Linked DNA regions of Callithrix jacchus. The protein of the gene in region 1 interacts with the protein of each later gene in a pairwise test. Links are inferred from orthologs where the notes say so. Each region holds a gene or a part of one and is shown on either strand. Other genes may lie near its edges.

Evidence for each region.
Region 2: the proteins of JAKMIP2 (region 1) and CLIP4 interact in binary tests that used the Homo sapiens proteins (3 or more experiments, as listed by UniProt). The two-hybrid records come from large-scale screens. The link is inferred for Callithrix jacchus from reciprocal best matches to the Homo sapiens genes JAKMIP2 and CLIP4.

What each region holds. Positions count from the first base shown.
Region 1 is NC_133503.1:46,333,671-46,350,155, reverse strand, and holds the start of JAKMIP2 (janus kinase and microtubule-interacting protein 2), read left to right. Parts: upstream 1-7,735; 5' UTR 7,736-7,990; coding exon of another isoform or gene 7,991-7,993; intron 7,994-16,485.
Region 2 is NC_133515.1:85,916,056-85,932,000, forward strand, and holds part of CLIP4 (CAP-Gly domain-containing linker protein 4), read right to left. Parts: intron 15,675-15,945; coding exon 15,513-15,674; intron 13,784-15,512; coding exon 13,665-13,783; intron 6,413-13,664; coding exon 6,176-6,412; intron 4,448-6,175; coding exon 4,312-4,447; intron 1-4,311.

The DNA.
Region 1 (16,485 bases):
GGGGAGGCAGAAAAAGGGGTCCCACAAGTTGGGCATTTAGAACACCTTCAAGTTTCTCCACATTTTCCCAAAGCCAGAGCTCTGAGGCCTCTCCTCATTACAGAAGGTAATAACTGAAACTTGAGAGTGTATCCTTCCAAATGGAAGAAGTTAGTAGTTTACTTAGAAGTCAACTTTAATACTTCCCTCTTCCTCAACCCCAACATCCAATTCATCAACCATCTCCAGAATTCTACCTCTAAAATGCATTTGAAACCATCCAATTTTCTCCATATCAACCCTAATCTAATAAGTATCATCTCTGGCTTAAATTACTGTAGCATGTTAACTGCATCCATTTTCACCCACCACTAGTTCATTCCCACAATGCTTTAAACTAAATGTAAATTCTGCAATGGCGGGTCATTGCAATTAAGAAAAACTCCAACTAACTTACAATGGGCTACAAGGTGCTGCAAAATTTGACCCCTGCCCACCTTTTAAACTTCCCCTCATGCCAGTTTCACCCTTGTTCACCATATTTCAGCCTTCAAAAGTATTTCTTATTCCTAACTTGCCCTTCAGAGCTCATCCAACCACATGGAACTGTCTCTTCTCAGCTCTTACATGATTGGCACAATTCAAATGTCATTTCTCAGTTTGAATGTCACTCCTCAGTGACTCACTCTCATTTTCCCCACCCTCAGTCCTTCTTCATCCTTTCATTCCTTACCTCCTAGTATTTGTGAAAATTTGCTACTATTTTAGTGGTTTATTTTTTGTTCTTTGGCTATCCCACACATTTGACTCTAAGCTCCACAAGAGCAAAAGCTCATGTCTGTTTTTTCTCTGGAATTCATGTGTTTACTGTAGTCTCTGGCTCATGTTCTCTATTCCCAGTGCTGTAATAAGACATTTTGAGTCCCTAAGCACTGTTAAAATTATGAAAAGTATGGTGCTTCCCATAAATAACTAAAAATAAAAACTACAGTTACAATAAAGCTTATACTAAAATCAAACTGGCTTTTATTTGTAGAATTTCTGGATTGTAAAATTCTGGGAAAGGTCATTGAAACAGACGTTTTCTCATTTCTTTGGTGTCCCTGATGTTTTGGTAACCTAGGCCCACGTGTTATCTGCCACGGTAATATACAACTGTCCAGGACCTGAAAGGGAAAAACTGCTTCTCATTTTAGCTTCAGAGCAAAGGTTTGTATTATCATGCGAATATGACTTAATAAATCTGTAATGGAGCAGTGGTTGCTGTGAACATTATAACTTTTTTTCTACGGTTAGAAGAATTAATCCTTTGGCCTGGTTTCATTTATTCTTATCTCACACGGCTTGTCAGCTCCATAGCTATTGACAAGCCCTAATCCCCTAAGTAAATTAACAGAAGAAAAATGGAGGAAAGAAGTTGTGTGTTTATGCATGTTGGGAGATGGAGAAGGCAGATTATTTTGATAAACACGTAGGTGGCACATAATGGGAACCATGTTCTGTGCTAGGAATCAGGATTAAACAACACTTGAGCAGCATGCCATGTTCTTAAGCATATCAGGACCTACATGCATACTCTAAACCACCTGCTTCCACTTCACCCCACAATCTCTCCAGTAATATCTTCCCTGGGATTCCAAACTACATTGTACTTTTCTTTTATCTGCTGTCAGAGCTGCCCGATTTTCTCTATTGTAGTGCTCAACATAATTTATTTTAAGTAATTATGTAATCTCTCTTTCCTCTTAGACCATAAGCTCCATAAGGGGAGTTCTCATGTTTCCTGACTCATAGCTACATCTCTGATACTTAGTAACAGCGTGCAATAGCAAGTAGCAATAAATATTTCTTAGATTAAGTAACAATGAGTGAATGAATGAACTTTAACCTTGACCTCAAAAGGCTTGCACTAAAATCAGAGAGAAAGACAAAGAAAAGAATATTTTCCATTCATCATCATAAGTGTAGTTAAGATGCATCATGGTACAATGGAAACCCTTGCTTCAATGCTAATCCTGGTATCAGTAAAGATGCACTGAAGAAAGTAATGGTTAAGTTTTAAAGGTTGAAGAATTGAGGCAGCAAAGGAACCTCAGGTGGTACTAGACGGAGCAAACACAGAAGTGTCTACCTGCTATGCAGGAAGTCATCTGTCAGATCATTGACCATAGAGTGTAGAGTTCATAGGAGAGTTCTTCTAATATATTTGTATACTGAAACTATTGATAAAGAACATTCAATGAGGTCAGAATGAGATCCTTATTCTTAGCAAACTCAAGAAGATCCTTACTGCTTACATTTAATGTTCTCTGTAAATATATAATGTATTAATAATCTCTTATAAAGGAGGCAGAAGACAAACAACAGTCACTTATGAATGCCTTTGTCTTTGCCTTCTTTTGGGGAAAATCAGGCTTTTGACTAAGTATGAGATAAGTATCTTCAGAATTCCTCATTATCTGTTGACGGCTGGTCTGCAGCCATAACAGCAAGCTTTTAGAATAATCCCAAGTGATCTGATTGATTTGGAAACATCCAGAAAAATGTGCTAGGCATAACCATAGTTAATAACATTGTGTTTATAAGAATATTGATATTATTTATCATTTATTACATGCCAGTTACTCCTTAATACTTTGCACACACAAACTTCAAAAACAACTCAATAGGACCACAGACTTTCAACAACCCAGGGAGTGATCTTGGAAGCAGATCCCTGAACTCAGTCAAGACTTCATATGAGACTGCAACCACAGCCAACCATTTAACTACAACCTCATGAGAGACTTTGAGCCAGAAGCTGTGAGCTAAGCCACTCCCAGATGTCTGCCCCACAAACACTATGAGTTACTAAATGATATTTCACAGTGCAAACAAATCACACAGAACAATAACTAAGTGGGGTAGGTACTGCTCTAATGTCATACAGATAAAGAAACTGAGCCATAAATAAATAAAACAACTTTTCCAAGGTCACTCAGAAGAGAAATCGTAAAGCCTGGACTCAATCAGTAAGTCTGTTTCCAGAGCCCACACTTTGCAGCTTCCTCCCATTATACTGTGTTATCTCCTGAAATTTTAATGCCACTTTTGAAGCCAAGACCCATACCCTGTGCTTTTTCAGACATCTCACAGAATTCAGAAGTCAAAGTTGGAAAAGTCCCAGGAGAGGCAGACAGTTTGGTCACAATTAACACCATTCTTAGAAGAAAATCAGTGTTTCCCAAAAAACATCATGCCTACGTAGTGAGGATATGTTAGATGACTTCAAACATGACTTCAAACATGTTAGATGACTTCATACATGAGCAAACATTTTTACTTTAATAACTATGTATTTTTAAAATCTGTGTCAGATAAACATTATGTTAATATGCATGTGTGCTAAATAAGGTAACTAGTATAATTATCTCAGAATTTAATTGTGAGAAATATCAACAGTATATTATCTGAACAAATTGTATTATTATAAATTACAGAACCATGATTCAATGCAGAAAGTTGTTCCTTTATTGATTTACTGGTTTATCCTTCAACAAATATTTATTGGGCACCTAATATAGCCCAGACACTAGTCACATACAGAGAAATAAAAATCGCTGCTCTCCAATAGTTTACATTCTAACAGGAAGAAACAAATAAAGAAATTTAATAGCACACAAAAACTACAGTATATTACTAATATATAATATAGTAGTAATAGAGTATATTACTAATATATAATATAGTAGTAATAGAGTATATTACTAATATATAGTAGTAATAGAGTATATTACTAATATATAGTAGTAATAGAGTAATTACTAATATATAGTATAGTAGTAATAGAGTATATTACTAATATATAATATAGTAGTAATGCTATACATCATATTATAGTATAGCATACCACATTAAACTACATTATATTATATGATAACATACTGTATTATATTATCATATGGTATATTACTATTAATTTTATATATAGTATATAGAAAAATAGAGCATGGTAAGAGAGGGGATGGTAAAAGAGAGGTGTGAATTTTTTTTTAATTAAAAATTATTATAAATAAAGTTGAAGTCTTTGTTTTACTAAAAAAATTAAGAATTTGTTTTTTTTTTAATTTTTTATTGGATTATAGGTTTTGGGGTACATGAGCAGAGCATGCAAGACAGTTGCGTAGGTACACACATGGCAGTGTGCTTTGCTTTTCTTCTCCCCTTCACCCACATTTGACATTTCTCCCCAGGCTATCCCTCCCCACCCCCCCTCCCACTGGCCCTCCCCTTTTCCCCCCAATAGACCCCACTGTTTAGTACTCCCCTTTCTGTGTCCATGTGTTCTCATTTTTCATCACCCACCTATGAGTGAGAATATGCGGTGTTTCATTTTCTGTTCTTGTGTCAGTTTGCTGAGGATGATGTTTTCCAGATTCATCCATGTCCCTACAAACGACACAAACTCATCATTTCTGATTGCTGCATAATATTCCATGGTGTATATGTGCCACATTTTTCCAATCCAGTCTATTATCAATGGGCATTTGGGTTGATTCCAGGTCTTTGCTATTGTAAACAGTGCTGCAATGAACATTCGTGTACATGTGTCCTTATAGTAGAACGATTTATAGTCTTTTGGATATACACCCAGTAATGGGATTGCTGGGTCAAATGGAATTTCTATTTCTAAGGCCTTGAGGAATCGCCACACTGTCTTCCACAATGGTTGAACTAATTTACACTCCCACCAACAGTGTAAAAGTGTTCCTTTTTCTCCACATCCTCTCCAGCATCTGTTGTCTCCAGATTTTTTAATGATCGCCATTCTAACTGGCGTGAGATGGTATCTCAATGTGGTTTTGATTTGCATCTCTCTGATGACCAGTGACGATGAGCATTTTTTCATATGATTGTTGGCCTCATATATGTCTTCTTTCGTAAAGTATCTGTTCATATCCTTTGCCCACTTTTGAATGGGCTTGTTTGTTTTTTTCCTGTAAATCTGTTTGAGTTCTTAAGAATTTGTTTTCATTTGCTTCTTATGGGTCCATTATCTCTTTCTTTCTTTCTTTTTATTTTTTTTTAAGATGGAGTTTCAGTCTTTTTGCCCAGGCTGAAGGTTCAAATGGCATGACCTCAGCTCACTTCAACCTCCGCCTTCCAGTTTCAAGTGATGCTCCTGCCTCACCCTCCCAAGTAGCTGGGATTACAGGAGCCAGGTTTTTAGTAGAGCCGGGTTTACACCATGTTGGCCAGGCTGGTCTTTAATTCCTGACCTCGTAATCCACCTGCTTCAGCCTCCCAAAGTGCTGGAATTACAGATGTGAGCCACTGGACCTGGACCGTCATCTTTACCATGTCAATTTTCATTTATGTTTTGCTGAAGTCAGAGACAAATTTCACTTAAAAATGAATAAATAACAAATTAAGTAAATCAGAAATAATTGCAATAAATAAGGGAAAACTATTATTAAGTAATGATAACGGTGCTACCTGGACGTGACCAAAAAGAAATAAGAAAGTCATATTTGAGTGGTTAAATTGGAGACTTCTTCAAATAGGAAATACCAAACTTTTCTCCCCACCGATTGACTCTTGACCAATTGTCTTATGTTGATGGGAGGAGAGGAGAAAACTAGAATCACTCACCCTTAGCCAGTCAGCTCCTGGAGCAAAGGATGAAATGCTGTGTGGAGGGTTCTGTCATCTAGTGTGTCACAGCTTCTATAGCCTGCAACTTCCTGCTTTGCTTACTTACAAGACCATCTCTGTGGAGAAGATAAAATACAGGAATGCAAAATGAAGTGAGATGATCACAACCTATTCCTTTATGCTACACATCACACATATGTGATGTTGACTTGGAAGTGTGTGCAGGCTGTGTGGCTGCTGAGGCTTTGACATAAGGCAGGGGACACTAGCTGCACAAAGCAGGAGGCAGGCTTTCCCACCAAGTGGACGGGAAGCCAGGGTCAACTGCTGGGGAAGAGCTGCAACCCTTTCCCCCATCACCTAGTTATCTTCAAGTCAGTTTTATTACAATAAGCTCTTGACATCCAGAGTGACACCATGCAGGAAAACATCCATCTTCTCATGGTTTAATATTAGTCACTTACAAATGTGTAAAAAGTAACTGTAGCTACATTTATTGAATATTTTCTATCTGCTAAACACTGTACATTTTATACACATCATCTAGTTTAATTTTTATAATGACTCATGAGATTCTATGATTATTTCTTTTTACAGATGAAGAATCATAGATCTGAGGAAGTTAATATATATGTTCCAAATTATACCTATAGTAAATACTGGCACTAGGAATGGAGCCAAGATCGTCTGACTCTGAAACTTGTGTTAATGCCGTTTTTACCTGTAAATAACTCTGTGGATTAAGAACAGATATTATTTCCATTTTATGGAAGAGTGGCAGAAAAGTGTAGTGGTCAGGAGGGTAAATGTGAGTGTTATAAGAGTCCATTTTAATTCTGGCTCTGTCGTTTATCAGTTGTGAATTTAGGAAATGTATCTAACTCCTCTGAGTTTTACAATGTCCTCAAATATCGAAATGTGTAGAACATTCAATCTCTTAGGGCCTCTCTGTCTTCGCCGTCATCACCATGGCTATCACGTATTTTGTGTTTTCTCACTTAATTTTTTCTCCTACCTGAAATTGCCAAGTAATTCCCCTTAAACCCTTAGGTTAAGAGGTGGCTACTACTATGCCACAATAGTAATCTTTATTGTACACTGTATGATTACTATATGCAAGTGTTTTTAGTGCATTATCTCATTCAACCTTTACAACGCCTGCACGCGATAAATACTAGTGTCATCTATAATGTATAGTTAGAAACAGAACTCGCCTAGAACTCGACACTACTGATTTCACTTCCCCTCTTCATACCCACCACCCTGACTGCCAGCTGACTTCGGAACTCGAAAAGGGCATCCATGAAAATGGCAGGAAGTGTCTTCAGGAAATGGAACGCTCCAGGAGTTTGACACTAAAAAAGATTGGGAACTGTCCACCAACTGGTGCTACCGAGAATAGTGGTTGTTGAAAGGAATTTCAGTCTCCTCTAGTCCAACTTACTTTTCCTCAGGGAAGTGTCAGATACCTCCAGGTCCTCTTCAGAAGGGCAGCTGGAAAAACAGTAAAACCAAGTAATTCACCTGAGACTAAGCCGGAAGTAGTGCAAAGGAATCAAGCAGACTCTTAATTTATTACGAAGTCCAGCCACTCCGTTTGCTTTCTAACAACCTTGTTGCCTGGTATTGAGTAAAGATGCTATAAAGGATCAACACGTTTGGAAGTAATAATAATCTGCTGTCATGCTACATAATTTTCTCCACATTTGTTATCATTTATCTGATGGTAAATTTCGTGCATTTTATTGGAAAACCACCGAAAATGAAAAAAACAGCTAAGCTGTTTCGTATGTTTCGACCTAGATTTCAATTAAATTTTAATTATTCTCGTCCCGTGCCTATCCACCCTCGCCCCATTTTTTAAAAGACCTGGAGTCTAGGGTAGGAGAGATCAAGAGCATCCCAGAGGGCAGCAGCACAAATTCGCTCCCCTCCAGACCCTGCAGCTTGCTTCGCCCATCTCCCCTCCCCTTTAGCTTGGTCGCTTATCATTGGTCATTGCCACGGCAACCAGCAGCTGCCAGCCCAGCAGCCTCTACCGCAGCAGGGGTGGGGTACTGGGGGAGGGGGAGAGAGAGGAGGAGCCAGCGGAGGTGTCTGCTGCAAGTTCCTGGCTGCTTCCGAGCTCACCCCATCCTCCGAGAGGGAGGAGGCCCAACTGGTGATGCTGCTGCTGCTGCCGCCGCCTCTATTGCTGATACTCTAGTGGAGCTGGAAGGGTGGTTCCTATTCGCACCATCGCCAACCAGAAACAGAGAGAAAAAAAACGGCAGCCGCTGCTGATGTTGGGTTCGGAGGCTGCATCCGACTCGGTCACAAGGAAAATGGATTCAGTTTGCATCTCTCCCTCCTTTAAACAGCTTCTCCGAGTCTCAGCATGGTGAGTAGGAAACAGTAGGGCTCCCTTCTTGGTTTAGTGTGTTATTATTTGACCTGTGTATACATTTCTGGCCTGAACTTGAACAATGACTCCCGTGCCTCAGACTAGGAGCGGGAGATGTGGAGACAGAGATGAGGATGGAGGGAGAGGAAGGTTGCCAGGAAGACAGAAGTGAGAAGGCAACCGCTTGTGTTAAAAAAAAAAAATTTGATGTTCTGATTTTATCTCTAACTGGCTCAGAATGCAGACTGAGCCACTTGGTGCCTTTTTTCCTAAGCTTAGCAACAGCATCAGGGGTTGGAAAAGGAGCTAACAACAAGAAGAGGGTGTTATTGAAAGGAATCGTTTCATTTGCAGCTCTCACATACAGGGTTGGGCCTTCTTCAGAAACACATTTGGTGTCTCATAAGCTTCCTAGACTCATGATAGGTGGTTTTGCTTATTTCATTGATTGTTTAGAAAAGGTGGCCCTAGAATTCGACATTCTATTTTATATTCTAATGTACTCTTATTGAGAAATCATTTGCCAGAACCAGTTTTATTTTATACATAGATTTGATTGTGAACTTATACATGTATATCTTATGGATATACATATCATATATACACACATTACTTAGCATTTATATGGCAATTATGAAAGATATTTATATGTAGAGTGTGCTTTGCAATCATTTTTATGGGTTAGATATGTCCTTGCATGCCTGAAAGTAATTGCATGTTTTTGAAACTATGCTTCTGGTTTGTATTATTATTCATTGGCTTCATTTGGATTAATGTGAAATTTACTCTTGTTGTTGTCTCTTAATTTTATTGTGACCAATTGGAAGAGATGCCTATCATTTGATCTGTATCATAGAACTAGATGCAAATTCATAGCCTGCCTCTTTATTTTTAATTGGGTTTGTGGGGGGTGATATTGAGGACACCAAATTTACAATGATGGGAAAGGGAGGCGGCTTGTGGTATTATTTTGTTTCTAGCGTCTTGCCAAGTAAATGTTTGAGCAAATCAGTTTTCTGGAAATGCCACCCCAACCTTTTCATGTTTGTGCCTTGTGTCCCAGGAAGCACAGCTAAGCTGGAAGGTGAAATGCATTCATTTTATTTAATAGTGCTGCTATATGCTGTTCATTCCTTCAGTATCCAGGCACCATTTTACAGTTGTCTCAAATGTTGTATTGTGGGTCTCCTTCTGCAAATGATTAAGTAGGAAAGTAGGATTGTTTTGAAAATCTAGCTATTCCCAAGTACCTAGCCCAGCCATTTCTAAATTAGTCTGCTTATACAATGAAATGAAACCAGAGAGGGAGCAAAGCTGAGCAGGAAAATGTGTGGCTTGTAGCTGAAATGGGGGGCTATTGTAGTTTACAAATGCTTATTGGGATCTGCTTGACCTTTTATTATGTCAAGGCTTTAAGGCAGCTCAGGAGACTAAAGATGCTGGAGATGAGGAGGTTCCATTCCCACCCAGGATAATGGATTTCATTGAACTAAAGCTAGAAACATTTTGTAGGTAAAATGTATTAGTAATATTACATTCACCACATGGGCTATTAAGGTTTTATCCATTAATCTCTTCTCTAACAATATCGCTGTTAGTATAGACATTTTTTACAATGTAAAATAACAATTGTTTGGGGCTTAACCTTGCATATGATTCTACATACACCCCCACCCACATTTATAGTTTTCATATGTATTTGAATCAGATTTAAAGTTTAATTTCTCTGAGAATAATTGTTCTATTTGGTTTATACTTGAGAAGGGGCCTTAGTGACTTAATTGTGCGTGTGCTCATAGCATGCCATATGTTATAGATCCACAGCTTTGTAAACTCCTGCTACCGTGCGCCTAATTGTAACAACTATATGAAGTAGGGCAAGGAAAGAGATACTGGGCTTGTATGTTATATCAAAATTGTAAAACATTGCATCCTGAATCTTTCAGTGATAATTCTTGACTTCCAAAAATTAAAATGTTAGATATGTCTATAGTACACTCAAAAAATTAAGATTTGTACTAGTTGACCCCATTTCATGCAAGGAAAGGAGATATCCTGGGGTTTTGTTTTTGTTGAGTTTTTATAGGATGTGATTTTATAGGCAAAGTTGGTACAGTTCAAACAGAGGCAAATCCCTTAGGCCATGTGCTTGAAACTCCTTGTAGATAGCCTGTTTCTGCCTAGTGTCAGCTATTACCCTGATAGAAATACAGGTCTAGCTTTTGACCCCACAATTTAAGACAATTATATGGCCTTTGCTAAGGGGCCACAGAAAAGTGAAGTATGATTTAAGCACTAAAAGGTGAACTCTCTGAGGAAAGATTCTTTTAAAACTAGGATTATCTCATTTGGAGAAGAGAAAACTGAAATATGACAATTATTTGTTTCAGATAAGCTGAACATGAGGCATAAGCATAGGACATTGTTTATCGCTATTTTTTGGAACCTCAAATATGGTCAATGGGCTTCAACTTTATGAGGAATTATGAATATTAGAAATATAAAATTGTAGAAGTTCCTCATTGTATGTGTGAGTAGTCAACTGGCTAATCAGATAAAGCAGTTCACTCTTTTCTCATCAAAACCTCCGTAAGTATGACCTAGATATGCATTTGTCTAGGATGGACTAGATTTCCTTCTCAATAACTTCTCTTGCTTTTTCTAGAGGAAGTCATTTATTTAAGAGAGTATGTTCATTGTTTAAGATCAGGCACTTCTAGATTATAACAGTAAGACTCCATTTTGTAGTTGGCTTCTAAATTACAGGATCTAGGTATTTGTAAAAAAATTAACTGATTGTCTTCCTAGAGAAGTTTACATGTAATTCTGCCAGAATGCAGGAAACTGAACATTTACCCATTAACAGAGGCCTTTCTCAGCAACTTTTTGGATTGTGATGTCAAATGTCTATATTAAAATTATTTTCTGTTGTATGGTTAATTTTGAAAAATGTAATGTGTTATTTAAGGGGGTCTTGACACAAAATAATTTAAGAACCATCAAGTTGATTTTTTTAAAAAAAACAAATTTTTTGAAAGATATGTACAAATTAATGCTTAAATGTGTTGTTTAACAAACTAATCTTCCACTCAAACACTACCTTAAAAATGTCATTCATTTTGGAATATTGAAGTTAAATATTTTGATTGGTATGTAAGCCTTAGTAAAACTTGTTTTAATTAAGACACACGTTAATTACTTTCTCACTTTGTAATAGGATATTTCTTATTTCAAGTGACTTCAGAACATATTTTTATTTTATCTACCTTCTGCAAGTTGACTTCAGAATGACTTAGCCAATATTTGGAGAGTAAAATAGTTTTCTATATTTATTTTGGGTTCATCAAAAATCAATGCTTTGTTTCTCATGGTTGGAGTCTTATTGTGGAAGTTTTAACATAAATAACACAATAATGGGCTTTTACTGAAATAAAAAGTTAGGTTTATACTTGGTTGTTACTCTTTGAAGTCTGTTACAATTCCCTCTGTTTACAAATTCCACTATTATTCTATCAAGGGAAAAATGTGCTTTCAAACAGAATAAATTAATCAATTAACTAACAACTATTTGTAGAGCTTTTATATGACTAGGAGACGTTGCATATGTTGCAACAAAAGAATTTCCTTGGAGAATATAAGATCTACACCCAGGAAATAGTTAATGATGAAAACAATATAGTTGTAATTAGTACCATCACTTCACCTTATATTAATACAATTTTATATAATTCTGTCATTTTTCCATTCTTTATTTTTCATTTTATATTTATCAGTTTCAATTTCTATTCTATCATTTTAATTCAATCATATCAGCAAATCCAGTGTCATAACAATTATTTAAAATAAATGGGAACAGATTTAGGGAGGTTAGATTTGTTCAGATTTGTGTTTGGTGAATGGTGTAACAGGATGGATCACTAATTTCATGAGTACAAACTACCATAGTAGAAAGGTAGTGAATTATCTTACCAATTTGAATTTTAATTAGTAAAATAATTTTAATTCAATTTACAAATCTGCATTGTGTGGCTCATTTTAGTTCACTATTTCAGGTACCATAATTTGTTCTTTGAATGTATTGAGTTTGCCAAAAAAAGGGGGGGCTCACACAAAAAAAGTATTTTAGAGAAAATCTAGCCTTCTTGCTATTTCAGAAAAACCTAGAAGCATTTGTTTGCATGAAAATCAGAACTTTGTTGGACCAATATGCACTTATTTTATAGATAGATATTGTTATTTTTAATGACATAGAGGTTAGTAGGTGACCATTTTTCTATGCTTAGGATCAGATTAAAATTCCTATAGGTCCTGAATCTTGAAAAAAGTTTTGCCATTCCTACCTATATGTCCTAATTATCTCTCCACCTACACATTCTTAAAAGTAAAAATGATATTGTCATAAAATAAGTGTACATCAGTTCAATGATTTTTTGATTATTTTCTCTGAACAAATGCTTCTACATTTTTCTGAAATATCAAAAATATTTATGTGTTTTTCAGATATTCTAATTTCTGGTGTCTCTTTTTCTTCATTAATGGCCTAGCAACATACTGGTGTGACAATTTGGTAATTCAGCCCTGGCCAAATAGCAAATCATGGCATCTGAACTATATTCTACCTTTGTAAAAAGTGTCCTTGAAAATTAATTAGCATGCAGTAAAAATGAGACCTGTCACACTAAAAAAATTCTTCTTTAAATCATTATTCACTACTACAAGTAAATTCTGTGGCGTAAAGCTTTTTATATTTAAAAATAATACATCCTTATAGTGGAAAACGATAACACAGAAATGTGTAGAAGGAAAATGAGAACCACTCATAAGCCTACCATCAAGAAATCATTACTGTTAGCGTTTCAGAATATTTCCTTTTAGATACTTTTGTGTAGACACACAGAAACACATGCAGACACACAGTTTCATAAATAGACCATATTCTAGGCATTGTTTTATACTGCTTTTGCTTTATGTATAGTGGCCATCTATCCATGTCAACAAATACGTCTCTACTGAATTTTAAATTTCCTTGTACATTTTTTTGATGATTCAAGCTGTTTTTTCCTTCACGTGGGAGTCTTCACTCTTTACCTTTAAATACTTCTCATGATACAGGTAGACCATGCTTGATTTTAAGCAACTGTGAGTCAAGCATTATATTCAGGAAATATGAACTCTGTTACCCTGACCTGCCACTGCATCTTACAATGGGTGTTAAATTAACATTGGTCATTCCTTGTCTGCTGGTAATGAATAAGTTCTGAATCCAAGGCAGTGAAATCCCTGTTGAAGTCACTAGGAATTTCTCCAGGTGCATGCATCAGCAACAATTAAAAACAAAAAACTAAAACACATCTCTTTCAGATTCATATTAGTTTTCCCAGTGTGCTGTAGTGGTATGTCCTGTAGTTTAATTTTTTAATTAATTAATTTATTATTATTATTATTTCAATAAGGTCTTGCTCTGATGCCCAGGCTAAAGTTCTGTGGCATGATCTCGGCTCACTGCAACCTCAACCTCCCAAATTCAAGTGATTCTTGCACCTTAGCCTCCAGAGTAGCTGGGACTACAGGTACTCACCACCACTCCTGGCTAATTTTTTATTTTTAGTAGAGACAAAGTTTCACCATGTTGGCCAGGCTGGTCTCAAACTCCTTACCTCAAGTGATCTGCCTGCCTGGGCCTCCCAAAGTACTGGGATTACAGGCAGGAGCCACCATGCCCTGCCTGTCCTATAGTTTTATCCTTGGTTAAGCAACTCAACTCCTTTATGGGAAGATATTTAAGTGTCTTCTCAGAATAAACCAAGTGTATTAGTCTATTCTCACACTACTATAAGGACATACCCAGTACCAGGTAATTTATAAAGGAAAGAGGTTTAATTGACTCAAACTTCCTCAGGGCTGGAGAGGCCTCAGAAAAATTACAATCATGGCAGAAAGGGAAGCAAACATGTCCTTCTTCACGTGGTGGCAAGAGGGAGAAGAATGAGAGCTGAGTTAAGGGGGAGGCCCCTTATAAATCCATCAGCTCATGAAAGAACTTACTATCATGTGACTAGAATGGGAAAAACCATCCCCAAGATCCAATTGCCTCCCACTGGGTCCTTCCCACGACATTTGGGGATTATGGTAACAACAATTTAAGATGACATTTGGGTGGGTACACGGCCAACCCATATCACCAAGATCTAGTTTTGCTATTTTTTCACTATATTCATTATTTCCTAGTGAATTCATGTGTATCTTAGTTTTCAAATAAAAACCCAGTCATCTGAGTCTTTCCCCTTTTTGAATGTGAATGGTTGACTCTTCTTAAACTTTAAGTCTGAACTTCAAACATAATGCCTTGGAAAGAATTCCCTAGGTATATCTCCCCTATTACTCTCTCCAACCTGTGTGTTTCCTTCATAATATGTATAAAAAGTTGTAATTACAGAGCTATTTATTATTTGCTTTCCCTACTCATCACTAGAATGTAAGCTCCATGAGGGCAGAAAATGAACCTGTGTTGTTCACCAGTTGTAATGAATGCCTTGATACAACATGCATGCTCAATAAAGACTATTTGGCAGAGTGACAGAATGAATGAAAGAATGAGAGTCCCCTACAGGGCTCCTAGCCTAAGATTGTAAAGGAGACTTCAACTAATAGCTCTTTTGACTGTGATTCTCATTTTTTAAAATTTGACTGTAAAAACAAGATGAATTGTATTCATATCCTCAGGATATTGTTATGATTTTGATAAGGCAAAATCAGATTCTTAAAGGTAACATATCACAATACTTAACAATATACATGATTAAAGACTGCTCACTACATGCTATGACATAAGTAAGAAAGGCTATGAACACTTCCGTGGCTCTTTTCATTTTCTTTTCAAAACTGAATTGCAAGTCAGAAATAGTGATATCATTAACAAATACCTTTAATTCACTGTGATTAATTAAAATAAGTTAGTAATTTAATTATTATAAGCTCCAAATTACATGATACACCTTCACAGCTATTGTGCTATTTTAGAAATCAACTCTACTGAATTCATTAATCATAAACAAATCATTCTATCATCTCTCCATCCAAAAATTAAGTTGAATCAGAAATGCATCTTACTCCAAAGATAAATTAAGGCAGCATCCTGCTTTCATGAAAGTTTTGAAATCAAATATAAAAAGAGTGACTTGAACAAGAGGGTTAGCTTAGCAGACACAAGGACATGCTTTTGAACCTCTGAGGATAGACATTTATATGGGTGTCTAGCCTGCTGATAGGCTGTAACTTAAGTATGAGGAAAAAGCTTTTGTTGCCTTTGTTTGGAATCGAAATCAAGATCATGGCACTTACTGCAATTCTTGAATTTCTGGAGTTCAGCTGCAGTTAGAATATACGTGGAAAACCAAATCTGACTGATTTTAGCTGACACTATATAGTTAGAAAACCACTCAATATTATTTTCAAGAAGGAAATTTTGCTGAGATTATCCTGACTCTAAAAAAGCCTGTGAGCATGCGCTTAGGAGAAGAGAGTGGTATTTTCATCATACCTTCTTTCCAAACTGGAAATGTTCCCTTGAAAAATGCTTATACCCACAGTAAAAACCAGGTAATTGTTTTTTACCCACATTCCTTACCTGGCTTTTTCTTATGTAGCACTTCATGGAGAGAGGTGTATTCCAAAAATAAACGGAGCTCTTACTCTGTAGTCATCACTGATCTATATTTAAATCCCTTAACCTACTCATAGATCAAGCATACCTAATTTGAACTTACTTTCCAAAATAAAATTGTTAGTTTTTTTAAATGCAAAAACACTCATGAAAACAACTAGACAGTATTTTAAATTAGTAGCATTCTGTGAAATCTAGGCTATTGTGTCATTCTACCAATAAGCCATTAAATCAAGAGCCAAACAGTCAACACATTTCTATATGATTATAACCAGTTTGGAGAATTTATATTAAAAATCCATGCTGAGAATTCACAAGCTGCTAATTCTGCTAATTGACATTGGCAACATAGAGAGAAGGACTTAGATGTTTTGAAGATATTATAGACCCTCAATTTGCTTTCTTATGAATTTGCTAGGTAATTCAGCTAACAAAAATGGGTACTCTGGAATTACAGGGATTTCTCCATCATCTGCTCAGCTCTAGTTTCTTAAACCCAAAAGAAGGAATTATTCTGACCACTGGCTCAGACTCTGTCTCCTATTGTCTTTTAAGGAGTAATTTAAGTTGTAGTTAATTAACCATAAAATGGATTTTGTATTTTAGAGAACATATTATTTTTAGTTATATTATGAAAAATGTCTGAATTTTGACTTCTTTTTAAAGAACTTTATTAAATGAAATTATCTATAAAATTTAGAATATAGCATATTTTGAGCCAGATGCTTAAAACATTTAGCAACAATGAAAAATAAGTCTCAGCTTTTTCAACATTGAGGTAACAAGGAATGCCTTCCCTCAATCAATTTTACATAGAAGGAATGCT
Region 2 (15,945 bases), on another chromosome or scaffold:
TGCCCTTAGTCTGCTTGACAGGTGGCAAAGTAATCCATCGGAGGAAAATTAAAATTAAATTCTTAACTTCACACTACTGACCAAATAAATTCCAAATGGATTACATAATTAAGTATAAAAAATTAAAACATAAATTACAGCTAGACAGGAGGATAAGTTCCAGTGTTCTACAGCACTGCAGGGTGAAGATAATTAACAATTTATTGTATATGTTCAACAAGCTAAAAGAGAGGATTTTGAATGTTCTTAGCACAAAGAAATGATCAATGATTGAGGTAATGGATATCCTAATTACCCTGATTTGATCATTACACATTATATTACACAGAAATATCACACTGTACCCCATAAACAGGTACAATTATGTGTCTAAATAAAAGGAAAAATTAAAACATTTAAAGACATATAAAATGTAGAGGTAATCCTTAAATTAGGAGGAATTATCAAAGCATAAAACAATATAAGAATTTATAAAAGCAAAGTCTTTAAGCCATAAAGCTACATGTCCACAAAACACCGCAAATGAGGTTCAAAAACAAATGACAAACTGAGTGAAATATTATATTAATATAAAAGCTTAATATCATAAGTATGTATTTTTAAAACTAATCCCTTTTTAAAAAAACACTCTAATATCCTGATTTTTACTGGGAAAATAATATGAATAGGCAACTGCCAAGAAACATAAAAAATATCTATACTGCAAGGCTACAGTAATCAAAACAGCATGGTACTGGTACCAAAACAGAGAGATAGACCAATGGAACAGAACAGAGGCCTTGGAGGCAATACCACATATCTACAACCATCTGATCTTTGATAAACCTGACAAAAACAAGCAATAGGGAAAGGATCCCCTATTTAATAAATGGTGTTGGGAAAACTGGCTAGCCATGTGCAGAAAGCAGAAACTGGGCCCCTTCCTGACACCTTACACTAAAATTAACTCCAGATGGATTAAAGACTTAAACATAAGCCCTAACACCATAAAAACCCTAGAAGACAACCTAGGCAAAACCATTCAGGACATAGGCATAGGCAAGGACTTTATGACTAAAACACCAAAAGCATTGGCAACAAAAGCCAAAATAGACAAATGGGATCTAATTAAACTCCAGAGCGTCTACACAACAAAAGAAACAATGATTAGAGTGAACTAGCAACCAACAGAATGGGAAAAAATTTTTGCAATCTACCCATCTGACAAAGGGCTAATATCCAGAATCTACAAAGAACTAAAACAGATTTACAAGAAAAAAACAAATAAACCCATTCAAAACTGGGCAAAGGATATGAATTGACATTTTTCAAAAGAAGACATACATGAGGCCAACAAACATATGAAAAAATGCTCATCACTGTGTATTAGAGAAATGCAAATCAAAACCACATTAAGATACCATCTCACACAAGTTAGAATGGTAATTATTAAAAAATCTGGAGACAACAGATTTGGAGAGGCTGTGGGGAATAAGAACACTTTTACACTGTTGGTGGGAGTGTAAATTAGTTCAACCATTGTGGAAGACAGTGTGGCGATTCCTCAAGGACCTAGAAATAGGTATTCCATTTGACCTAGCAATCCCATTACTGGGTATATATCCGTAGGATTATAAATTGTTCTATTATAAGGACACATGCACACGAATGTTCATTGCAGCACTGTTGACAACAGCAAAGACTTGGGACCAACCCAAATGCCCATCGATGATAGACTGGAGAGAGAAAATGTGGCACATATACACCATGGAATACTATGCAGCCATAAAAAAGGATGAGTTCAGGTCCTTTGTAGGGACATGGATGAAACTGGAAACCATCATTCTCAGCAAACTGACACAAGAACAGAAAATCAAACACCGCATGTTCTCAGTCATAGGTGAGTGTTGAACAATGAGAACATGTGGACCATCACACACTGAGGTCTGTGGAGGGGGAACTAAGGGAGGGACAGCAGGGGGTGGGGAGTTGGGGAGGGATAACATGGGGAGAAATGGCAGATATAGGTGATGGGGATGGAGGCAGCAAACCACATTGCCATGTATGTACCCATGCAACAATCCTGCATGTTCTTCACATGTACCCCAAAACCTAAAACACAATTTTTAAAAAATCTATACTACAACAAAACACTTTAATAAGTCTTTAATTTCACCACAATAAGAGAAATACAAATTAAAATATAAAATTTTCATCCATCAAATTGGAAAAGTGAAAGGAAATACAGCTATTCAAAATCACATTTTCAAACAATATGTAAAGATTTGGGGATATTATACTAGGATATCAAAAAATGCAGAATTTTTTTTTCAAATCTTATACAATGCGCATTTTTATAAACAAACAAAAAAAGTTTTAATTGATCAGAAAAATGAAATTCCATCCTAAGTATGTGATGAAAGGAAACTAGTAATTTTGATAAATACATAATAGCCAGTAGCTCTCATCTCATGAGTGCTTACAAGGAATCAAGCACTATCCTAGGTGCTTTATATGTTTACCAACATATTTAATCCTTGCACAAGTCCTCATGATAGTGTCATCCCCATTTCACAGAAGACAAACTGAGGCACAAGAAGAGAAAGAAAGTCACATAGCTGATAAGTAGAGAAATCGATTCACACACAGGCAGTCAGACTCCAAAGTCCATACCCTTCATCATCATCACACCACTCCACCTCGCCATCAGGCCACGAGATGAATACTACACGATCATGGAAAATTATGTTATAGAAGAATATTTCATTTCCAGGAAAAAAATTCACAACATAGTAAGTGACTACAAAATCAAATTGAAATCAATAGACAGGATAAGTGCGTGTGAGAGAGAAAGAATAAATTTACCTAAACATGTCAGAAAGAATTTACTTCAACATTTGTCAAAATTTACTTAAACATTTGCCTTTGTCAGAAAGAGAAAGAAACCTCACGGATGGGCACGGTGGCTCATGCCTGTAATCCCAGCACTTTGGGAGGCCAAGGCACATGGATCACAAGGTCAGGAGTTCAAGACCAGCCTTACCAACATGGTGAAACCCCCGTGTCTACTAAAAATACAAAAATTAGCCAGGTGTGATGGCACACACCTGTAATCCCAGCTATTCAGGAGGCTGAAGCAGGAGAATTGCTTGAACCCAAGGAGGCGAAAGTTGCAGTGAGCCAAGATGGTGCCATTGCACTCCAGCCTGGGCAACAGAGGGAGATGGACGAACAGACGGACGGACGGACGGACAGAGGAAGAGAGGAAGAAAGAAAGAGAAAGAAACCTCGCAGAGTTTCAAAGAAACCTCAGGAGTGCAGTCAAGTTGGCCTTGCTTGATTTTTCCAATTTTCCAAGTTCTTCATGACCTCCAAAGCTCTGTACTTCCTTGATAACCAAGTCCCTCTCTCGGCCATGACACCACCAGGAGCAGGATTTAAGGGAGGTCTGCAGAGTTGGGCATGCCCCTGGTCAGAGATTATCTCCCAATCACTATGCTGCTGGCTACAAGAATATAGGGCAGTCCCACAGCTCACAGCTTACTGATGAAAACACCTCTCTCATCACTATCTCCCCTCTAAAAGCCACCCAAGAGACCAGTCCCAAGAAAGACACTTTCTCAGAAACATCATCAAGGCAATCCCATCAGATGCCCTCTTTTTCACCAATCACTACCAGACAGCTTCCTAAACCCTTCCATCATGACCTCTGAAACTCATGGTTGGCTGGGTACAGTGGCTCATGCCTATAATCCCAGCACTTTGGGAGGCTAAGGTAGGCAGATCACCTGAGGTCAGGAGGTCGAGGCCAGCCTGGCCAACATGGTAAAACCCCATCTCTACTGAAAATGCAACAATTAGCCAGGCATGGTGAAAAGTGTCTGTAGTCTCAGCCACTTGGGAGGCTGAGGCAGGAGAATCACTCGAACCAGGGAGGCAGAGGTTGCAGTGAGCCAAGATCGAGCCACTGCACTGCAGCCTGGGTGACAGAGTGAGACTCCATCTCAAAAAAATAAATAAATGAAATAAAACAAAATAAATAAAAAGTGAAAAGCAGTGCCTGATCTAATGCAAGGGTCTTATACTGAATTCCGTTTCCCTTTCAAATTTTTCAGGACATTCCCCCTGTAATTGTCCCCTTTCTCTCCTGCAATGTCCATTTCTCCCTCTCACATCACCCATCTCCCATCTTTAAAAAGCTGTCCCTACATCCACATGCCCCTCATTTATCACGTAAGTAATCAGGAGAAAAGTTTGACTTAACAACTGTAAAAGAGTAAAACTGGATTATTTTTAATTAGTTCTTACTGAGTTAAATAATGTCAACCTTACCATATTTGGGGGCACATTTAAAGTACTGCACTTTTCCAACACTTCCATTATTTTTTCCTTCCGGTTCATCCAATTCAACGCCAGCCCACTGCCCACTTGCAAATTCAGTGGTTCCACAAAATCTTAATGTACCAACCTAAAGAAAATATAAGTCAGAATAACTTTAGGGAATTATTAGTAATTCCAAGTGTCCTACTCTTGCAATTTTACTTCACCATGAAAGTTTTTAAAAATTCACTCAAAGTGAATTTAAAGAATTTGCTCTTTCAACATTACCTTTTAATCCTTGGTAACACTCCTTGCTCTGAAGTGAGAGCTCACTTAAGTGGTCAGAGAGCACACTTCAGAGCAAGGAACATTACCAAATATAAAAAGGAACATTAAATAATAAAGGAGACAATTTCCAAGACATAAGAATCCTAATTAGCTGGATAGTAGCACACGCCTGTAGTTCCAGCTACTCCAGGGGCTGAGGCAGGAGGGTCGCTTGAGCCCAGGAGTTCGAGGCCACAGTGAGCTATGACTGTACCACTGCACTGCAGCCCGGGCTATAGAGTGAGACTCCATCTTAAAAAAAAAAAATTGGGCGTAACCATGTTGGGAAATTCAATATCCAGGCAGGAATTCCCTGTTCCATTCTCCACACCAAGCTCCCTATTAACCTCTATATTAAGAAAAACCAAGAAAACCTCCCATAGGAGATATTTTTTAAAAGAAACTGGCAATAAATGATGCAGTATGGAAACGAAAGCTTGGGAGGAGAAAAGGGTGTGGATGATGGGAGCAGGAGTCATCCTCTTCTCCACATAAATCCTTCTCACCAGATTATATAGTATCTCGGATTGCCCTATTTGTGGAGAACTCAAAGACAAATACCCACAAACAGCAAAAGTGTCTTGTGCTCAATTTCTATGGAGTAGCAGCAGTCAGAGAAGCTGCACTGGGGGAAGAGGGGGACTGCAAAGAAAATCCTCCACCCTAGATCATCCCTCAGCTCATGCCTCTAAACACACTCAAGAGTTCTACTCCACTCCATTCTATTCAAATAAAGATGTCTTCATTATTAAGTTCAGGTAGTTTATATTCTTAAAGCATAACTTAAGAGTAAATTTGTATCTAAGTTTTACACTTTCCATTAAGTATCTTTCTACCTACATGTTGGACCTTTTTTTAAAAAACTCAAAACACTGACCATATGTGCTATAGCTGGAACCTGAGCAACGCCATTTTATAAAAGACAAAGCTGTTTTCCAAAAATAAGTTGTAATGGCTGCCCCATTCTCCTCACAATGACTGCTTACCTTTTCTTATCAGTAACTACCTGAATTGCTGGCCTTTGCTTACCGGTAATGATCAGAATAAGCAGCCCAAGCTAATTCAATCCTGGCCCCTGCGACTTGTAATAAGTAACTACGATTTGTGGATTCCACCACTGCCCAGATGATATGTAAACTAACGCTTATCTTGCTTCTGTAACCACTTAGGTTACAATCGAAGTGACAAGTCCCCTAGCCCTTGGAATGTCCGGAGACCTGCACCGTCCTCTCTGCCCGGGAAGTGATTTACAGAATCCCCTGGCCCTCAGAATGTCTGAATCCCCTCACCCCCATCCCCACCCCACACCCTCACCCCGGAGGTGGTTTACAGGCATAAAAGGGTCTTGTCACCCTCCTTTCCAGGCCACGGGCTGGAGAGACGCGAGTCCTCCGTGGTCACCGGCAATAAAGACTCTGCAATTTGGCATACATTTGTCTTGGTGTTAATTTTATACTCGATCCAAATACTTCACATACTGTATGCACCCTTGAACACAGGTCATGGACACAGTGACCTTGGCTTTAGAGACTGCAGTTACTTATTGTACCTTCTGTCCTGCAATAACAACACGATCCCCCAACTTCAGGCCAAGTGACGTAAGCATTGCCTTGCCAGTGGCGTGACCGTAATTTGGAAGCATGGCCTTTGAGATGTTACACGACAGAGGCACCGCATCTAGGAGCATCTGCTTGACTTCCTTAGCAGCGGCGGCAGCATCAGCCATCTCCAACGGCATATCTACTGGGTCCGGAACAACATCAGCAGGGATCTGTCCTTTGTCATTCTACAAATAAAGGTGAGAGAAAATGTTCAACTCTTATTTACTTAGAGCACTAGAAAGTCATATAAAATTTCTGTCGAGGAATTTTACATTAAATTCATTCATTATTTGTTTATTCAAAAACATTTCCTGAACACCTGCAATATGCAGGCACCATTCTAGGTGCTAAATAAAGATCCTAGAGCAAAGAAAACACAAGCCCTGCCCTTGAGGAATGTTACATTCTGGTGGGAGAGACAGATCACACAATATGAAACAAGTAAATTATATGTGAGAAAATCAACAGTCATAAGTGGCTAGGAGGAAAAATAAAAGAAAGCAGGGAAGGGGGATAGGAAATGTAGAGACAGAGATGGTTGTAGGGGAAACTCTTTAGACTAAGTGGTGAGGAAGATCGCACTGATGAAATGCCTCTCCACAGAGATCCAAAGCAGGCCAGGGAGGAGCCGAGCGGGTTCTCTGGCAGGGAAAAGCACCGCATCCCCATCCATAGGGAGGAGCAGTGCTCAGGTCCTAAGTGGAGAGCAGCCTGCCGGCACAGGCATGAGAAGGCAAGCTTGGAAACAGAAGCCACAGAACTGACTGGCTTCCCAGCCCCAGTCGACGCTTCCAGAACTGCTGCGCTCTTGGCTCTGCGACCTCAGACTCCTGCCCACTCATGGGGTAATTCAGATTTCAAAACTAGAAACTATGGTTTTGATATTTCTAAAACCTAGGCTATAATCAAGGAAAAATAACTCTGTTTTCACTACAACGGAAAGACTGTATCCTGGGACTTAACCTGTGACAAAATAAAATGGCCAGCGACCACCTCACGGTCATTTGCAATAGTATCTCTATCATCAAAGCCCTATCATGTAAATTATCTGTCTTCTTACATTCCCTAACCACAACCCTTAGACTTCATGAGAAATAATCTAGATACTTTCATTAACTGGGAAACTTTTTCCCTTTTCTTCACTGATGATAATCTTCTTCAAATGATCCATGTGGAAAAATGAATGAGTCTCTTAGAATACACTTACTTTGTAATTGCTTCACTTTTTTTTTTTATTTAAAATTCAAGTCAGGTTGGTCCTTAGTAAAAATATGGCAAGAAGATATGTTATCAGATTTCTAGGATGGTAATGAACTCTTTTAATCCCAGATTCCAAGAAAACATACAAAATATAACAAAGATATGTGTTACACTAATGTATACTCTCTAAAAAACACATTCAGGCTGAAGAGTTGTAAGCTATGCTTACATACAATTCCCATATAATTCAGCAATCAAAACTTCTGTTAAAAAAAATTAATAGTAAGAATAAAATTAAAACAGTATCTTCCTAACATAGGAAGGTTAATTCATGATCTATTGTAGAATTCTATTTTCTTCTCAAATGGTGGCATACCACCAGACTGGCCCTATAAACGATGATTAAGGGAGTTCTACACATGGAAACAAAATACTACTACTTGCTGTCAAAAAAGCATATGCAAGCACAGTCTATGGTCTCCATAAAGCAGCTACACAACTGACACTACGAAGCAACTAGCTAACAACACAACAGGAACAAAACTTCACATATCAATATTAACCCTAAAAGGATTAATAAAAGGTGATCAAGGGAGTTCTAAACATGGAAACAAAAGAATAATACTTGCTGTCACAAAAAGCGTTACCTAAGCATGTAGTCTATAGACTCCACAAATCGAGACTAGAAAGTAGCTAACAACACGACAACAGGAACACAACTTCACACATCACTATTAACCCTGAACATAAACAGCCTAAACACACCACTCAAAAGACAGAGTGGCAAATTAGATTTAAAAAAAAAAAGAAAAAACCTGTCCTTCTGCTGTCTTCAAGATACCCATGGCACACGCAATGACACCCGTAAGCTCAAAGTAAAAGGCTGGAGAAAGATCTGTCATGCAGGGTGTCACTATCCTTTTATCAGATAAAACATACCTTAAGCCAGTAACAGTCAAGAGGGACAAAGTAGGGAATTACATAATGATAAATAGTTCAATTCTACAAGAAGACTTAACTATCCTACATACACACACACCCAACACTGGAACACCGAAATTTATGAAACAATTACTACTAGACTTGCAAAAAGACTTCAGACAGTTACATAATAATAGTGGGTGACTTCAACACCCCACTGAAAGCATTAGACAGATCATCAAGGCAGAAAACAAATTTTCGACTTAAATACGGCACTTGAAAATTAGACACAATCGGCATCTAAAGAATACTCCACCCAACAGCCACAGAATATAAATTCGGTTCTCATTTTCACATGGAACATACTCAAAGACTGACCAGGTCATAAAGCAAGTCTCAACAAATTCAAAAACATCAAAGTCATACCAAGCATCTCTTGAACCACAGTGGAATAAAAACAGAAATCAATACGAAGATGAACTCTCAAAATTAAACAAGCACATGCAAACTAGAAAACTTGCTCCGGAATGACTTTTGGATAAACAACGAAATTAAGGCAGAATTCAAAAAATCCTTTGAAACAAATGAAAACAGAGACCAAGTATACCAAACCTCTGGGATGTAGCAAAAGTAGTGTTAAGAGGAAAGTATCAAAACGCCTGTATCAAGAGAGATCTCAAATTATAACACTGCACCTAAGGGAACTAGAAAAATAAGAACTAAACTCAGAGCTAATTGAAGAAGTAACTACAATTGGAGTACAACTAAATGAAACTGAAACCAAGAAAAGCATTCAAAGGATCAGCAAAATGAAAAGGTTGTTCTTGGCCGGGCACGGTGACTCACGCCTGTAATCCCAGCACTTTGGGAGGCCTAGGTGGGTGGATCATGAGGTCAAGAGATCGAGACCATCCTGGTCAACATGGTGAAACCCCATCTCTACTAAAAATACAAAAATTAGCTGGGCATGGTGGTGCGCGCCTTTAGTCCCAGCCACTCGGGAGGCTGAGGCAGGAGAATTGCTTGAACCCAGGAGGCGGAGGTTGCAGTGAGCCGAGATCACGCTATTGCACTCCAGCCTGGGTAACAAGAGCGAAACTCTGTCTCAAAAAAAAAAAAAAGAAAGAAAAAAGTAAAGGTGGTTCTTTGAAATGACAGGATAGACTGCTAGCTAGATTAACAAAGAAAAAGAGAAGATCCAAACAAGTACAATTGGAAATATTAAATGTGGCATTACAACCAGTCCCACAGAAATGTAAAATATCCTCAGCAACTACTGTGAATACCACTATTCACACAAATTAGAAAATCAAGAGGAAATGCATAAATTCCCCGAAACACACAACCTTCCAAGAACCTGGAAGAGAATGAAACCCTGAACATACCAACAATGAGTCACAAAATTGAATCAGTAATAAAAAACCTACCATCCAGAAAAAGCCCTATACCAAAGGGATTCACAGCCAAATTCTACCAAACATACAAGGAGGAACTGGTAACAATCCTACCAAAATGATTAAAAAAAAAAAAACGAGGAGGAGAGATACCTCCCTAATTCATTCTGTGAAAGCAGTATCATCCTGATACCAAAATCTGGCAGAGACACAACAGGAAAGAAAACTACAGGCCACTATCCCCGATAAACACAGACGCAAAAATCCTCAAGTTACTCGCAAACCAAATTCAGCAGCATGCCAAAAAGGTAATTCACCATGACAAGTTGTACAAGGAGGCTCAACGTATGCAAATCAATAAACATGATTCACCACATAAAATTAAAAACTGTATGATCATCACAATAGACACAGAAAAAGCAATCATACATTCCAACACTCCTTTATGATGGAAAAAAAAAACCTTCAACAAATAAGGCATTGAAGAAATATATCTCAAAATAGTAAGAGCCATCTACGACAAACCCACAGTCAACATCATACTGAATGGGCAAGTTGGAAACATTCCTTCTAAGAACTGGAACAAGACAAGAACATCCACTCTCACTATGCCTATTCAACATAGTACTGGAAGCTGTAGCCAGAGCAATCAGTCAAGAGAAAGAAATAAAAGGCATCCAAATAGGTAAAGAGGAAGTAAAATTATCTCTCTTCACCAACAACATGGTTCTATATGTAAAAAATTCTAAAGGTTCTGCCAAAAAACTCCTAGACCCAATAAACAACTTCATTAAAGTTTCAGGACAAAAAAATCAATATACAAAAATCAGTAGCATTTCTATACACCAGTAACACTCCAGCTGAGAACAAAATCAAGAACACAATTCCATTTACAACAGCCACAAAATGATAACAAAAATACTGAGGAATACATCTAACCAAAGAGATGGAAGATCTCTATAATAACTATTAAACACTGCTGAGAGAAATCAGAGACAACACAAGCAAATGTGAAAACACTCCATGTTCATGGACTGGAAGAATCATATCATTAAAATATCCACATTGCCTAAAGCAATTCCTATCAAACTTCCAACATTGTTTTTCACAAGATTAGAAAAAAACTGTTCTAAAATTCATATGGAGCCAAAACAAAGAGAGCCCAAATAGCCAAAGCAATCCTAAGCAGAAAGAACAAAAGCCAGAGGCATCCCATTACCTGACTTCAAATTATACTACAAGGCTACAATAATCAAAACAGTATGATATTGCTACAAAATAGATAGATACACCAATGAAACAGACTAGAGACCACTGAAATAAAGCCACACACTACTAACTGATCTTTGACAAGGCTGACAAAAATAAACAGTAGGGAAAGGCCACCCTATTCATAAATGGTGCTGGTAAAACTGGCTAACCATATGTAGAACAATGAAACTGGACCACCACTGCTCACTATATACAAAAATCAACTCAAGATAGATTTAAAACTTAAATGTAAGACCTCGAACTATAAAAATCCCAGAAGAAAATCTAGGAAATACTCTTCTAGCCATTGGCCTAGGCAAAGAATATATGACTAAGTCCTCAAAAGCAAGGGCAACAAAAACAAAAATTGACAAATGGGACCTAAAACTAAAGAGCCTCTGCAGAGCAAAAGAAACTATCAACAGAGTAAACAGACAACCTACAAAATGGGTGAAAATACCAACTGTGCATCCAACAAAGGACTAATATCCAGAATCTATAAGAAAGGTAAACAAATCATCAAGAAAAAAACAACCCCATTATAAAGTGGCAAAGAACATGGACATTTCTCAAAGAGGACATATAAGCAACCAACAAATATAAAAAATGTTCATCATCATCAGAGAAATGCTAATCAAAACCACAATGAGATTCTCTCTCACACCAGTCAGAATGGCCATTACTAAAAAGTCAAAAAATAACATGTTGGTGAGGTTGTGGAGAAAAGGAACATTTATACACTGTTAGTAGGAATGTAAATTGGTTCAGCCCCTGTGGAAAGCAATGTGGAAGTTTCTCAAAAAACTAAAAACAAAATTACCATTCGACCTAGCAATCCCATTACTAGGTACACAGCCCAAGGAAAATAAATCATTTTACCAAAAAGACATTGCACTCATAGGTATTTCACAGCACAATGCATGGAATCAACCTAGGTATTCATCAATAGTGGACCGGATAAAGAAAATGTGGTACATATACACCATACTACACAGTCATTTAAAAAATGAAATCATGCCCTCTGCAATGGAATGGATGCAGGTGGAGGCCATTATCCTAAGCACATTAATGCAGAAACAGAAAACCAAATACTGCATGTTTTCACTTATAAGTGGGAGCTGAACATTGGGTACACACAGACATAAAGATGGGAACAACAGGCCCTGGGGACTCCAAAAGACAGGAGGAAGGGTGTGAGGGAAGGAGGTAGAGAAGGGCTGGGGCTTGAAAAAGTACCTACTGGGTTCACTGTTTGGGTGAGGCATCAACAGGAGTTCAAACCTCAGCACCAGGCAATATACCTGTTTCACAAACCTGTACATATACTCCCTGCAACTAAAATTAAAAATTAAAAAAATAAGATGGTAGCTTATTAAACTGTGATCTGAAGACCACTGCTGACTCACATGTTTATTGCTTTTTTTAAAGTAGTTATTTTCAAAATATGGCAACCTATTAATCTATTTCTGGCCTAAATTGGTAATTTAGCTCAATAACAGATCTCATGGCATCCTAACAAATTCAAACAACACTAATGGGGCTGATTGACACTAATGACACTGAATTGTCCCCACTAATGGGGCTTTGTCAGCAGCTGCACCAGCAAAAGCAAACACACCCCTTTTGCCTTCCAGCTGGACTAAATGATCATCTCCTAGGCTTCTTGCATGCTATTCTCTCTGCTTTCCTCACCTCCCTCCAGTACCTGGTTAATTCTTGCCTACGTAAGCACTCGATTTCAATGTCGCCCCTGTTGAAGCCTTGGGAAGATGACTCTATGGCCCTCTGCCACCCCCATCCCATTGTATCACACTGAATTAGCACACTACAGTAAAACTGACTGCTTCCTTGTCCCACCTCCCCTCTGCAATACATTCTTTCTGAGGGCAAGTGCTTTATCTACATTATTGTAGTATTCTCCCAGTGCCCAATAAACAATAGAGTCAGAAGGAAGGGATGGAGGAAGAGAAGAAATTAAAAGTTGGGGGGTAATCAACGGGGTTAAACAAAAGAAAACTGGCAAAGAAGTAGGGAAAATGGGAAAAAATAGGAAAGGGAAAAGAAGACAGGTGTTTTCAAATACTGCACACTATCCACCGCCTATACCACCCCCTTCAAGGGAAAGCATGACATAATTAAGAATACCTGCCAGAGCAAGTTATTGTTATGAATAGAGGATGTGAAAACTGAGAACCACTTTCTCAAAAAAAAAAAAAAAAAGGATCTGAAGATTATGAAATTCAATCCTGTGTAACTCTGTAAATTGGTGAAATTTCACTATTTTAAAAAATACACTTTTCCTTTCCAAAAAATTTGAAATATGATTTAACAGAAAAATAAAACTTTAATAGATGTATTTGTACGGCTAACTTTTCATAAATACATCAAAATCCTAAATGAAAGGTACTTAAACTCAAAGATTATGACAGTTTAAGGAAGAGTTTAGTTTCCTGAATGGAAGTTACCAATATAAAAGAAAATTTATCATTATACCTTATATTTATTTACAATAAAGATCATCACTCTCTACATGTGGCACAAAGATATAAATTACTTGCTCATATAAGAGATTTTCTATTAATAACAACATTCAGATTCAACACTTCACCAGAAAGCAGGATAAGACTTCTTAATTCTTTTAATATATTTCACTTTTAATTTAACCTCTTACCCTAAATGCAGGATTTGCTCCTTGCTCCAAGAGGCACTTCACAGCACCTGCACACAAGTTGTACGCTGCAATATGCAAAGCTGTTCCAAAATTAAAATCACTGCAAGTGGCATCCACATCTGCAATTAAACATCACAAGTGCATTAGCTAAAATTTTAAACTTAGCTATTATAATTTAAAAGAGGACAGCGTTTTAGAGGAGGGACTTTTATTATTTATAAGACTTAACCCACTAGAAGCACGATTTCACAATAGAACAAAGTCTTTATATTACAATCTAGTTAAAATAAGCAGTTGATTATTTTCTTAGTACAATAAAATTCATTATAAGATAGAGTGATAACCCGGGTTTTCAAACTAGAACGAACTAAAACATACTTTAAAACGATTAATGGCAATAATCTGCATTTGTGAAAGTAACAGCTTATCACAATCTCCCATTAAGTCTGTTGTATATTTGCCATGACAACTACAGTGAGGTAGAGTAGTAGAGTTTAGTTCAGGGGTCAGCAACCTATGACCCACAAGGCAAATCCAATCCACCTGTTTTTATAAAGTTTTATTAGAACACAGGCACAGTCATTCATTTACATATCCTCTGTGGCTACTTCCATGCCACAATTATGAAACTGAGTAGTTTCATCAGAGACTAGGTGGTCCAAAAAGTCTAAAATATTTGCCAGCTGGCCCCTTACAGAAAGAAAAAACTGGCCAACACCTGGTAGGTAACACAAAGCAGAATTTCAAAGTCTAATTAAACATAGAAATGCTTATCTATAAATTAATTCATTATACTCTACTGAACAAATGAATTTGAATTTCATAATAAGTAATTTTGCAACTCTAAGGACATTTTAATAACTTTTAATATAGTATCATATGTTATACTTAAATACAGCAAATCCTCCAGATTTGGGAATCCCATCTTGAATATTTTTGATAACAAGGGTTTAAATATACCTCTGGTTCTGCAAATCCTACCCTCAACTAAACGACACCACGCCCACATACCCTTCCTACAACTGCAAACAACCCAGATACGCTAAAGACAAACTCTCTTGAATTATTAAAGACACAGTAGTGTCGACAGAGGCTTTCTTCCCAACATTATTCAGAAAGTGAAAAGGTAGAATTTTAAAGAGAAAATGGACAATTATGCAGATTGGCGGTTAGAAATGAACATTCTGGGAAATTCATCTATTGAAGCTCTAAAGCATGTTCCTACAATGGGGAAAATATTGTACACTTTCTTTAACTTAAAGTTAATACAATTTATTTGCTCTCATATTTTTCTAAAAAAGAAAGAAAAGAAAATTGGCCCCCAAGAGGAGAACCAGAGAGAAAATCAAAATACCAGGACTGTGACTCAAACATTCAGATCTTCCATTTCAGGATATCATCATCAAGACAGGGGAAAAAAACTGAAATATCCCTTAAGTTGAATTATGTAATTTCAGGACCAAATACCGCCTAAAATAAATATCCTTTATTATTCCAATGCCAATCTCTGAAGACCTTAATGTTCTATTTCCGGCTACCCAAGCAAGGCAAAAGCATCATAAAGCACGTAGAATCAATTATATAAAACATGTGTCATACTGGAGAACTTAGAGATATAAAAACCCAGAGAACACTTTCATTTTGTATCACTCTGTACTAATCCTTTCGTAGAAAAGATAGTAGTTAATACTCAGTAAAGAAATTTTAAACTATCTCAGAAATAAAATGGAGTAGAAAGGCATAGGAAACAAGATGGATTCAAAGTAAAAATATCCTTGAATTATAATTTTTATGCCACCACTAAAGTGTTCAGTTAGTAACATCTAAAGATGATCTTGTAAAACTTGCCTTTCGGTTTCGATGTTTTCAAAATCACTCTTATAAGTTCTGGGACATCAAAATAAGCAGCATAATGCAAAGCATTCATGTTTGTCCAGCGACTCCGCAAACTAACATCTGCTCCCAGGTCAATAAGTTGAGTTGCAAATTTTACAGCTGTTTCCACATCACCTAAAGAACATTTTCTAAATTATTTTCCTTTAGTACAAATTTTAAGTTCCAACGGATGGCTATCTATTACCATCCAACGGATGGTTATCTAAGAAAACATAACACTGTATAGGCACACCTCGAAAATTTCACTTTCAAAAATTTATTCTAAGAAAATAATCATACTCAGGGATGGGGATAAACACTTGGCTGTAAAGATGCTCATCACTGCACTGTTAATATAATTCTGAAAAATCCAAAAAGTATAATAAGAAATTGGTTAAATAAATTG